Linked DNA regions of Canis lupus familiaris. The protein of the gene in region 1 interacts with the protein of each later gene in a pairwise test. Links are inferred from orthologs where the notes say so. Each region holds a gene or a part of one and is shown in the gene's direction. Other genes may lie near its edges.

Region 1 (4,244 bases):
AGAAGCATCTGGATACAAATACCCAATCAGAATGTTGTACATCTAAAACTAATAGAATATGTTAATTTTATCTCAATAATAATAAAAAGGCACCTGGAATTGGGACCTATTTTGTGGGCAGAACTTGGCGGAGGTGCTGAGGGATGGGTGAGAACAAAGGAGAGAGGTCAAGCTCAGTTCTCCAGTGTTGGGTCTACTAGGTGCATGGAGGGCTTATTTGCTGAGTTGAGGGCTTTTTGATGAGATGTGGAAGACTGCAGGGAGATCAGCGTTAAGTGGAGTGGGAGCTGAGGTGGTGAGTTTGAGATCCAAGTGGGGACTGTCAAAAATGTCAGGGAGGATGTTCTCTTCCTCCAGTTAAGTGGGCTAATCTCTGACCTCAGGACTTTTGCACTGGCAGTTCTCTTTCCCATTGGGGGATGGTGGGGGAAAGGCCTCCCCAAATCTGCACATATGGGGCCTTTCTTGGCTTTCTGGCCTTGGCTCAAATGTCACCTCCTTGGTGTCCTTCCCTAACCACCTGTCCCTGCAAATAAGGCCATCAACCCCTTCAACCACCCCTACCTCAAAAACACATCATGTTTGAATCCTCAATAGCACTAATCACTATTGTGGTTAGCTTTACTAGCTCCCCAATCAAACTATGGACTCCAGGAGGGCAGGGTCTGCATCTTGTTCACTGATAAATCTGAGTCGCCAAACACAGAGCCCAACGTATGGTATAGACTCCATAAATTATAAAGTGCCTGGTTAAAAGATTCCCCCTGGACCAAACCCTATGCAGGGCTAGGAGGACCCATGAGATACAGACCTCACCTTCGAGGGTCTCACAGTCTTGCTGGAGGGAAAGAGAGGTCAGCCCTGGATCCCAGAGGAGGTCCCTTACCCAGAGGACGGTCAGGGAAGGCTTCCCAGAAGTGACGGCCGCAACTACCAGGGGAAGACCAGAGGGTTACGCAGCATGTGGAGGCTCTGGTACGGACAGCGATCACTACACCATTTGATGAGAGACGCTCAGGGCCAGAAATTATCTGACATTTCCTGATGACTCGAATCCTGTCCTAGGGCGACGTCTAAGAAGCCATCCTCCTTCCCAAAGGGACAGAAACGAATGGGAAAGCGCCGCGCAACGCGGTGGGTCTCCAGCAGGCGGCAGTGAAAGCAGGACTCTTCATTCATCTCGGGCTGACAAGACGCGAAACAGGCAATAACGGCTCCTCGCGGCTTCCATATTACGGAAACGCATGCGCAAACATGGCCGCGCCCTGGATTGTGGGGCTCAAAGAGTCACGTGACTGAGCAACTTCCCGTCCCCTTCTGCAGGTTTTCCAGAGCCCTACTTCCTGCACTGTCATATAGAAGCGCGTGCCGGGGCTTAGTGCGTTTCGAGGCCGCTGGAGGCCTGGTCTGGGCGGCTGTGATCTGAGAGTGCGGCCGCGGGAGCATGGAGGGTCTTCCGGAAGGGAAGGCACCCGCGGCGGCGCTGGCCGCTGTGCTGAAGCATAGCTCGGCGCTGCCCTCCGAGAGCTCCCAAGTCCGAGGCTACGACTTCAGCCGCGGCGTGGACTACCGTGCGCTACTGGAGGCCTTCGGCACCACTGGCTTCCAGGCCACCAACTTCGGGCGCGCAGTGCAGCAAGTCAACGCCATGGTGAAGCCTGGGGCGGAACTTCCTGGGTTGAGGGGGTGTGGCCTCCAGTAGCGGCAATGCGGTACTGGGGGGCGGGGCTCCCTTGAGAAGGAGGCGTGCCCTTTGTCGGGCGGCCCAATAGGTGGAGAGAGGCAGGGTCCATTCTGGGCAGCGGTTTCCGTGCTGGGGAGAGGACCTTGTGCCTCCCCATCTCCATAGCATCCTACCATCAGGATGAGGTTGGGACTGATGCTAGATAGGAGGCGGGTTGTAGGTAAGGAGTGAAGTGTTCTGAACGGTGCGGTTGAGGAGGAGCCTCAGTCAGGGCGGGGTCTGGGCTCAGATTTGCTTTTTCCAAAGGGGAAAGTGACCAGGCCTGCAGAGGTAGTGCTCTCCAGTTCCTTGAAAGGGGAATAAAACCTGAGCGCGTGCCTTGAGATTTGGGCGGTGAATGGGGCCGAGCCTGCGCAGGGGGCGTTCGTTCCTTGGCTTCAGGTATTCCAAGTAGAAGTGTTTCCTTATTCCTGAGTGGGCAGGCCCCGGGGCTGGAGTCTGATCCTGAAACCCACTTGGAGCCCTCGGGCTAGAGTTTGGGGCCAGAGGGTAACTTGACTCTGCCCTTACACCTAGATAGAGAAGAAACTAGAGCCGCTGTCGCAGGATGAAGACCAGCATGCAGACCTGACCCAGAGCCGCCGCCCACTTACTGGCTGCACCATTTTTCTGGGCTACACATCCAATCTCATCAGTTCAGGCATCCGTGAGACCATCCGTTACCTCGTGCAGCACAACATGGTGGGTACCTGGCGGGGTTGTGGACTTGGCCTCTCTAGGTCTTATGGGCAATAAAAATTATTGGCCACTTAAATGACAGGGAGACAGGATTGTTTTAAGCGGAGGAACAGGATCTACTTTTATTTTGCAGTAGAGATTTTCCCAAGGGTCACTGGATTAGTGTTGGGAATGAGGAGCCCTACCTGGCATGACGGCAGGGCCCCTCTTCCTGGGCCAACCTGATTTGTGGCTGCAGGTGGACGTCTTAGTGACCACAGCTGGCGGTGTGGAGGAAGATTTTATCAAGTGCCTGGCACCCACGTACCTGGGCGATTTCAGTCTCAGGGGGAAGGAGCTACGTGAGAACGGGATCAACAGGTTCGGGGCCCTGAGTGATGCTGGGCAAGGGAGCTGGGCTGAGGATCCTGGGGCCCGATGCCCACATGCCTCATGTTCCGCAGGATTGGAAACCTACTGGTGCCCAATGACAATTACTGCAAGTTTGAGGACTGGTTGATGCCCATTCTGGACCAAATGGTGCTGGAGCAGAACACAGAGGTGGGGCAGGAGCACCCTGGGGGTCGGTGTGGAACTGAGGCGGCCCTGCTGGCTGAAGTCAATGTCTCCTCCTAGGGTGTGAAGTGGACACCTTCCAAGATGATTGCCCGACTGGGCAAGGAGATCAACAACCCAGAATCAGTGTATTACTGGGCCCAGAAGGTGAGGGACTAGGTAGGGCAAGGGTACCAGGCCTTGGCACATGTTAGCTTGTTTCACCTTCATAGCCACCTGGAGAACCATTTCATCATCTCCACTCTTAGGTGAGGAAGCCAACACAGATGTTAGTTTGTCTGACGCTGCGGTCCAGCAGTGGGAGTAATGAGAGCTACCATTCTCCACTGGTTTTGTCTGGTTTCATCACATATGCTTCATCTGTGATGGAGATGCTGTTGCAGTCTCCATTTTACAGTTGAAGAAGCTAAGGCCTAGAGAACTTAGTAAGCATCCTGCCTAGAATCAGGCAGAGAGGAGGGGATGCCACTGGGATGGGGGCCAGTCTGCCTCTGCTGGGCTCTGAGCTTGTTGCTCTCATCTTGCTGTTCCCTAGAACCACATCCCCGTGTTGAGCCCAGCGCTCACAGATGGCTCCTTGGGCGACATGATCTTCTTCCATTCCTACAAGAACCCAGGCCTGGTCCTGGACATTGTTGAGGGTGAGGTGCTAGGGCCACAGAGGAGCAGGGGAGGTAGGGTGGCTGTGTCCACTGCCTGACCACAATGCTCTTCTCCCAGACCTGCGACTCATCAACACACAGGCCATCTTTGCCAAGCGCACTGGGATGATCATCCTGGGCGGGGGTGTGGTCAAGCACCACATCGCCAATGCCAACCTCATGGTGAGTGGGGACACAGTAGCCGGTTCCTAGTGAGGGTGGCACTCGGGCTTGCCATACAGACCTGTGCTAAGCCTACGCCATGTGCCAGGGCAACAACTGTAGACTAGATAGGCCAGGATCCCTGTCCTCCTGGACTGATGTTCTAGTCAGGGAGATAGGTGGCAAGCAAGTGATGTGCATGTCACGGGGCAGTTAGCTGCTGTGGGAAAAAAAATGAGGGATGACAAGTGCAAGAGAAAAAGAAAGGAGTGCTGTTCAGAAAAGGGAAGTTCTGGGAAAGACAGCCTGTAAACAGAAAACAGCCAGTGCAAAGGCTCTGAGGTGCCTGAATTAAATCAAGGGACAGTTAGCAGGCCAGTGAAGGGGACCGAGACAATTAGCAGCAGGAGCCTGGCCTCTAGGGCTGCCAGTTGGGTGCTTATAGGTGCACCCTGGCCTCTATA
Region 2 (4,148 bases), on another chromosome or scaffold:
CCGCGATGCACACCGAGCCGCAGGGCTGACACCCAACCAGCTGCACGACGGCCCCAGGCGGAAGGACAGGCTGGGGCACCTCGTGCTGCGGGTTGGTCTCGCAGGGCCCACCCCCGAGGGTGCTGCGGACCCGTCCGGGCGCCCGGGGGTGGGGGGGCGATTCCTGCCAGAACCTCATCACCGGTCACCCAGCCCCGCCCTCGGGCTCGGCCTCGAGGCAGCGCCCACCTGCGCCTGCGGTTGCAGCTCCACGTTCCCGCCACCACTACGCAGGGCAGCCCCGTTGAAGTCGCGTGCGTCGCGCGACCTGAGGCCGTCACGTGACAACCGCCAGGCCCCTGAAGGGCCGGGGCCGCCACGCGCGCGCTCGGGCTCACCGTTGACTCCGACGGGGACCCCGGGCGCCCCGAACCCAGAAGTTCGCAGGCCCTGAGAAAGTGCTCACTTCACGCCGGAAGTGCACTAATCCGCAGCACGTGGGGTTGCCAGGGCGCGCTTCACGTGACGGGGCGGGGCCTCGGGACCCGCGTGGCCAATGGTGGCGCGGGGGGCGGGGCCTGTGACGCGCCGGGACCTATCCCGGAAGTGGGGCTGCGGCGGGGGCGGGCGGGGGCGGGGGCGGGGAGGCCGGGGTGTGGAAAGTGTGGCGGCCCCGCCCCGTCTCCTGGAACCGCCGGGGCCGCCGCCGCCGCAGCTGTAGGGGCCCGCGCCGGTGCGCAGGCGACAGGCTCGCTGTCCCCGGCTGGAAGGTGAGGACGTGGGCGAAGCCGGAGGGGCCGGGACCCCCGAGCGAGGCCGGGCCGGAGCAGGCTGAGCGAGGGAAGGAGGAAGGATGGATGGGGCAGCCGGGGCGCAGGCCCACGCGGGCCGGGCCGGGCCGGGCGGGCCGGGGATGCCGGCAGGACGGAGGGCGGAGCGCGAGCCGGCCGGGGGCCAGGTGCGGCCGCCCAGGTCCCGTTATCCCCATCGTGCGCGGGGACGCGCGGCCTGGGCTGGGCCCCCCGTCGCCGGCTGCCCCTGCGCTGGGACGGCGGGGCCGGGCGGGCTGCCCCCGGGGCGTCTAGCCCCACCGCCGCCCCCACCCCCGCCCCCGCCCCCGCCCCCGCCGAGCCCTCCTGCCACTTCCCTCCTCCGGGTGCAAAAGTTTATAGAGGCCCGAGTTAGAAAGTGCCCACTATTCCCGGGTGGGTGCTCCGCGAATGGGGGCGGGGGCGGGGTGGGGACTGGACCCGCGATGTCTGGCCCGCAGCCTGTCCGAAATGTGATGTCTCCCTGCCTTGCGTGCCCGTTGTTAAAAAAAAAAAGCGAACACAAACTTTTTTTTTTTTTTTTTTTTGCATAGTTTCCCTCCCCCCCCCCGCCCCCCGCCCCCGAGGAAGCTACGGTCGCCCCAGCCCACCATGGCGGACGAGATCGACTTCACCACTGGAGATGCCGGGGCTTCCAGCACTTACCCTATGCAGTGCTCGGCCCTGCGCAAAAACGGCTTCGTGGTTCTCAAAGGACGACCATGCAAAATAGTGGAAATGTCAACTTCCAAGACCGGAAAGCACGGTCACGCCAAGGTAAGTCAGTGCCCTTCCCCGGTCTCCCTTTGCCTTGCTGTTTTGATCATTTTGTATTCCAGTAGGGAACGTGAGATTTCCATATTTATAACTCGGCAATAATGACTTTTTTTTTTTTTTTTTTTTTTTCTTGACCACGATTTCTGAGTGACCAGCCATGGCTTTTTGAATACTGAAAGGTAGCATTTCCTTGTTTGGGCCCTTAATAATGTTTCGTTAACCGGTAATGGAAACTTTTTCCTGAATCCCAGTGATTTAGAATACATGTTCTGTTTATGGATGAGAAAACCTGTTCTAACATAACTTCATTTCTCTTACACAGTCTTATAACTGAATTCCTAGACTAGGAATTGGGTCTTGATAGGTCGTGAAGCTGTTTCGTTGTTCGCTGCTTCTCAATTCTCTGACCCCTGCTTTTTTTTTTTTTTTTTTTTTTTTTTTTTTTAAGAAAATAAAATTAGATGACCTTGGAAGGAGAAAGAATCTGTCATAATCAGCTTTGGTATTGTGCTCTTGTGTGTGTAATGAGTGATATACTTGGCAAAGATTAAACAGGTTTCCTGTTCTCCCTCCTCTGTTAGGTTCACCTTGTCGGAATTGATATTTTCACGGGCAAAAAATATGAAGATATTTGCCCGTCTACTCACAACATGGATGTTCCAAATATTAAGAGAAACGATTATCAAGTGAGTACTAGCTTCCTTTAAAATGGTGTTTTTTGTTTCTTAAAGTTGTAAATGCATTCTACTATCAACAGGAATTCAACAAAACCTGGTAGTAGTTTTGTAGGTTTTTCTAACCAGGTACTAAGCACCACCACCTATCTTAGAAATTGAAAATAGTGGTATTTAACACTTGTATCTTATCTAGAATTATAGCTGATTTGCTTTTTATTTTGACATTTTTGCATTCTTAAAAAGTTGAACATGTCTTATTATTTCTCAGACCAAGGGACTGCTTATTGTGACTAAGTTCAGTGTTCAGTGAAACTACTAAGCTTTCGTTGTAAAATATTTCCAATTCAGATAACTCCCCCCTGGATATTTTATTTCTTTTCACTTGTCAAGCCTAAGACTTTTAAGAAATCATTGGAATTCATGTTCCCCCAATCAAGTTTGTATATTATTGAATGTGAGTCAGAATTTGATATTCTTAAATAGGGAAGTGAGTTGAAAGTCTTTAATGTAAGGGATAAAGTATACCACCATGGCATATGGTAAAGAAAATACAAAACTATCTAATTGTTTTATTTACATTCAGTGACCATGCTGTGACCTTTTGTTAAATTATAGGTTTAGACTTCCAACTTGTAGTTCCAATTATACATTTGGATAAGTCATGTTTAATGATAGCATTTTGTTGTTTCGGAGTATTGGTGGTAACCAAACCATTGACCTCATAGGATGTGGGACCTCAGATTAATTATAACTAAAGTCTTTATTGTAAGTCTTCAATCTCATCGTCAAGCATACCGTATATAAAACTCTTTTTTGTTCATTTTATGGAGTCAGAAATGCAAGTGTGACACTTAGATTTTCTTCATTCATTTTAAACTGATTTCTTGCTGTACCTTTTATTCTATTATATACATGTTACCATCAACTGCAGTTAACATATGATTTCCTTTTATTTTGTACACATGTAAAAATATTTTTATGTAGTTTTTTTTTTAAGATTTTATTTATTCATGAGAGACACACACAGAGAGGCAGAGACACAGGCTCCCTGCGTGGAGCCTGATAAGGGACTCAATCCCTGGACCTGGGATCATGCCCTGAGCTGAAGGCAGATGCTCAACTGCTGAGCCACCCAGCCGTCCCTATTTTTACATAGTTTATTCTACTAAGCAGTTGTATATTTTCACTTTCCCACTTGTAAATGTTTTCTAGGTTGCTTTGGAGTCTTTCTAGAAATTTGCATTGTCTTATTATAATAATAGCATATTGAGTTTTTTTAATCAAACAATTTGGGTTTAGATCTGCTCCTGCCACTTTCTAGCTGGATGACCTTGGACAAATTATACAATCTCTCTGAGCCTCAATCTTCCATCTACAAAGGAAGGATAATGGGAGGATTAAGGAGAAAATGTATCCCATAATTACCTTATCGGTAGATATGTACCAAAAAGTAATTCTTTTCTGCTCCCCCCCCTTTGCCTTCATAAAAATTCCATCTAACCATTCCCTTGTACTTGGAACACCTAATTTAGACATGGCTTATAGTGGGTGCTCAATAAACATTTGTTAAATGCATGTGGGATTATTCAGTGAAGTAAGGATAGTGTAGCTAAGGCTAGGTATAGACTTTTCTTTTACCAAAAAATGGATTTCTGTTTTCATCCTTAACATGTGAATGCTTTGAATGTTCAATATTTATTATATATATATTAATATGTACTTAATACAGAATGCTTTTGCTTTTGGGCATTTCAAAAAGATAGTATCAGTAATTCATATGATTACTACTATGATCAAATTAACCAGTCATTGTTTGGAGTTCGAGATCTAACAAAAAGGAAAAATTTGGTTTGGGTTTTATTTGGGGATACAGCAGGGTCCAGACTAGGGTGAGGGGAACAAGGTA

What was found.
Region 2: the proteins of DHPS (region 1) and EIF5A2 interact in binary tests that used the Homo sapiens proteins (3 or more experiments, as listed by UniProt). The two-hybrid records come from large-scale screens. The link is inferred for Canis lupus familiaris from reciprocal best matches to the Homo sapiens genes DHPS and EIF5A2.

The regions. Positions count from the first base shown.
Region 1 is NC_049241.1:49,833,048-49,837,291, forward strand, and holds the start of DHPS (deoxyhypusine synthase), read left to right. Parts: upstream 1-1,444; coding exon 1,445-1,651; exon of another isoform or gene 1,652-1,693; intron 1,694-1,751; exon of another isoform or gene 1,752-1,864; coding exon of another isoform or gene 1,865-1,904; intron 1,905-1,990; exon of another isoform or gene 1,991-2,125; intron 2,126-2,260; coding exon 2,261-2,425; intron 2,426-2,660; coding exon 2,661-2,782; intron 2,783-2,865; coding exon 2,866-2,962; intron 2,963-3,037; coding exon 3,038-3,124; intron 3,125-3,512; coding exon 3,513-3,618; intron 3,619-3,697; coding exon 3,698-3,801; coding exon of another isoform or gene 3,802-3,819; intron 3,820-4,244. UniProt on the Homo sapiens protein: Catalyzes the NAD-dependent oxidative cleavage of spermidine and the subsequent transfer of the butylamine moiety of spermidine to the epsilon-amino group of a critical lysine residue of the eIF-5A precursor protein to form the intermediate deoxyhypusine residue.
Region 2 is NC_049255.1:35,577,921-35,582,068, reverse strand, and holds the start of EIF5A2 (eukaryotic translation initiation factor 5A-2), read left to right. Parts: upstream 1-1,348; 5' UTR 1,349-1,400; coding exon 1,401-1,565; intron 1,566-2,146; coding exon 2,147-2,251; intron 2,252-4,148. UniProt on the Homo sapiens protein: Translation factor that promotes translation elongation and termination, particularly upon ribosome stalling at specific amino acid sequence contexts.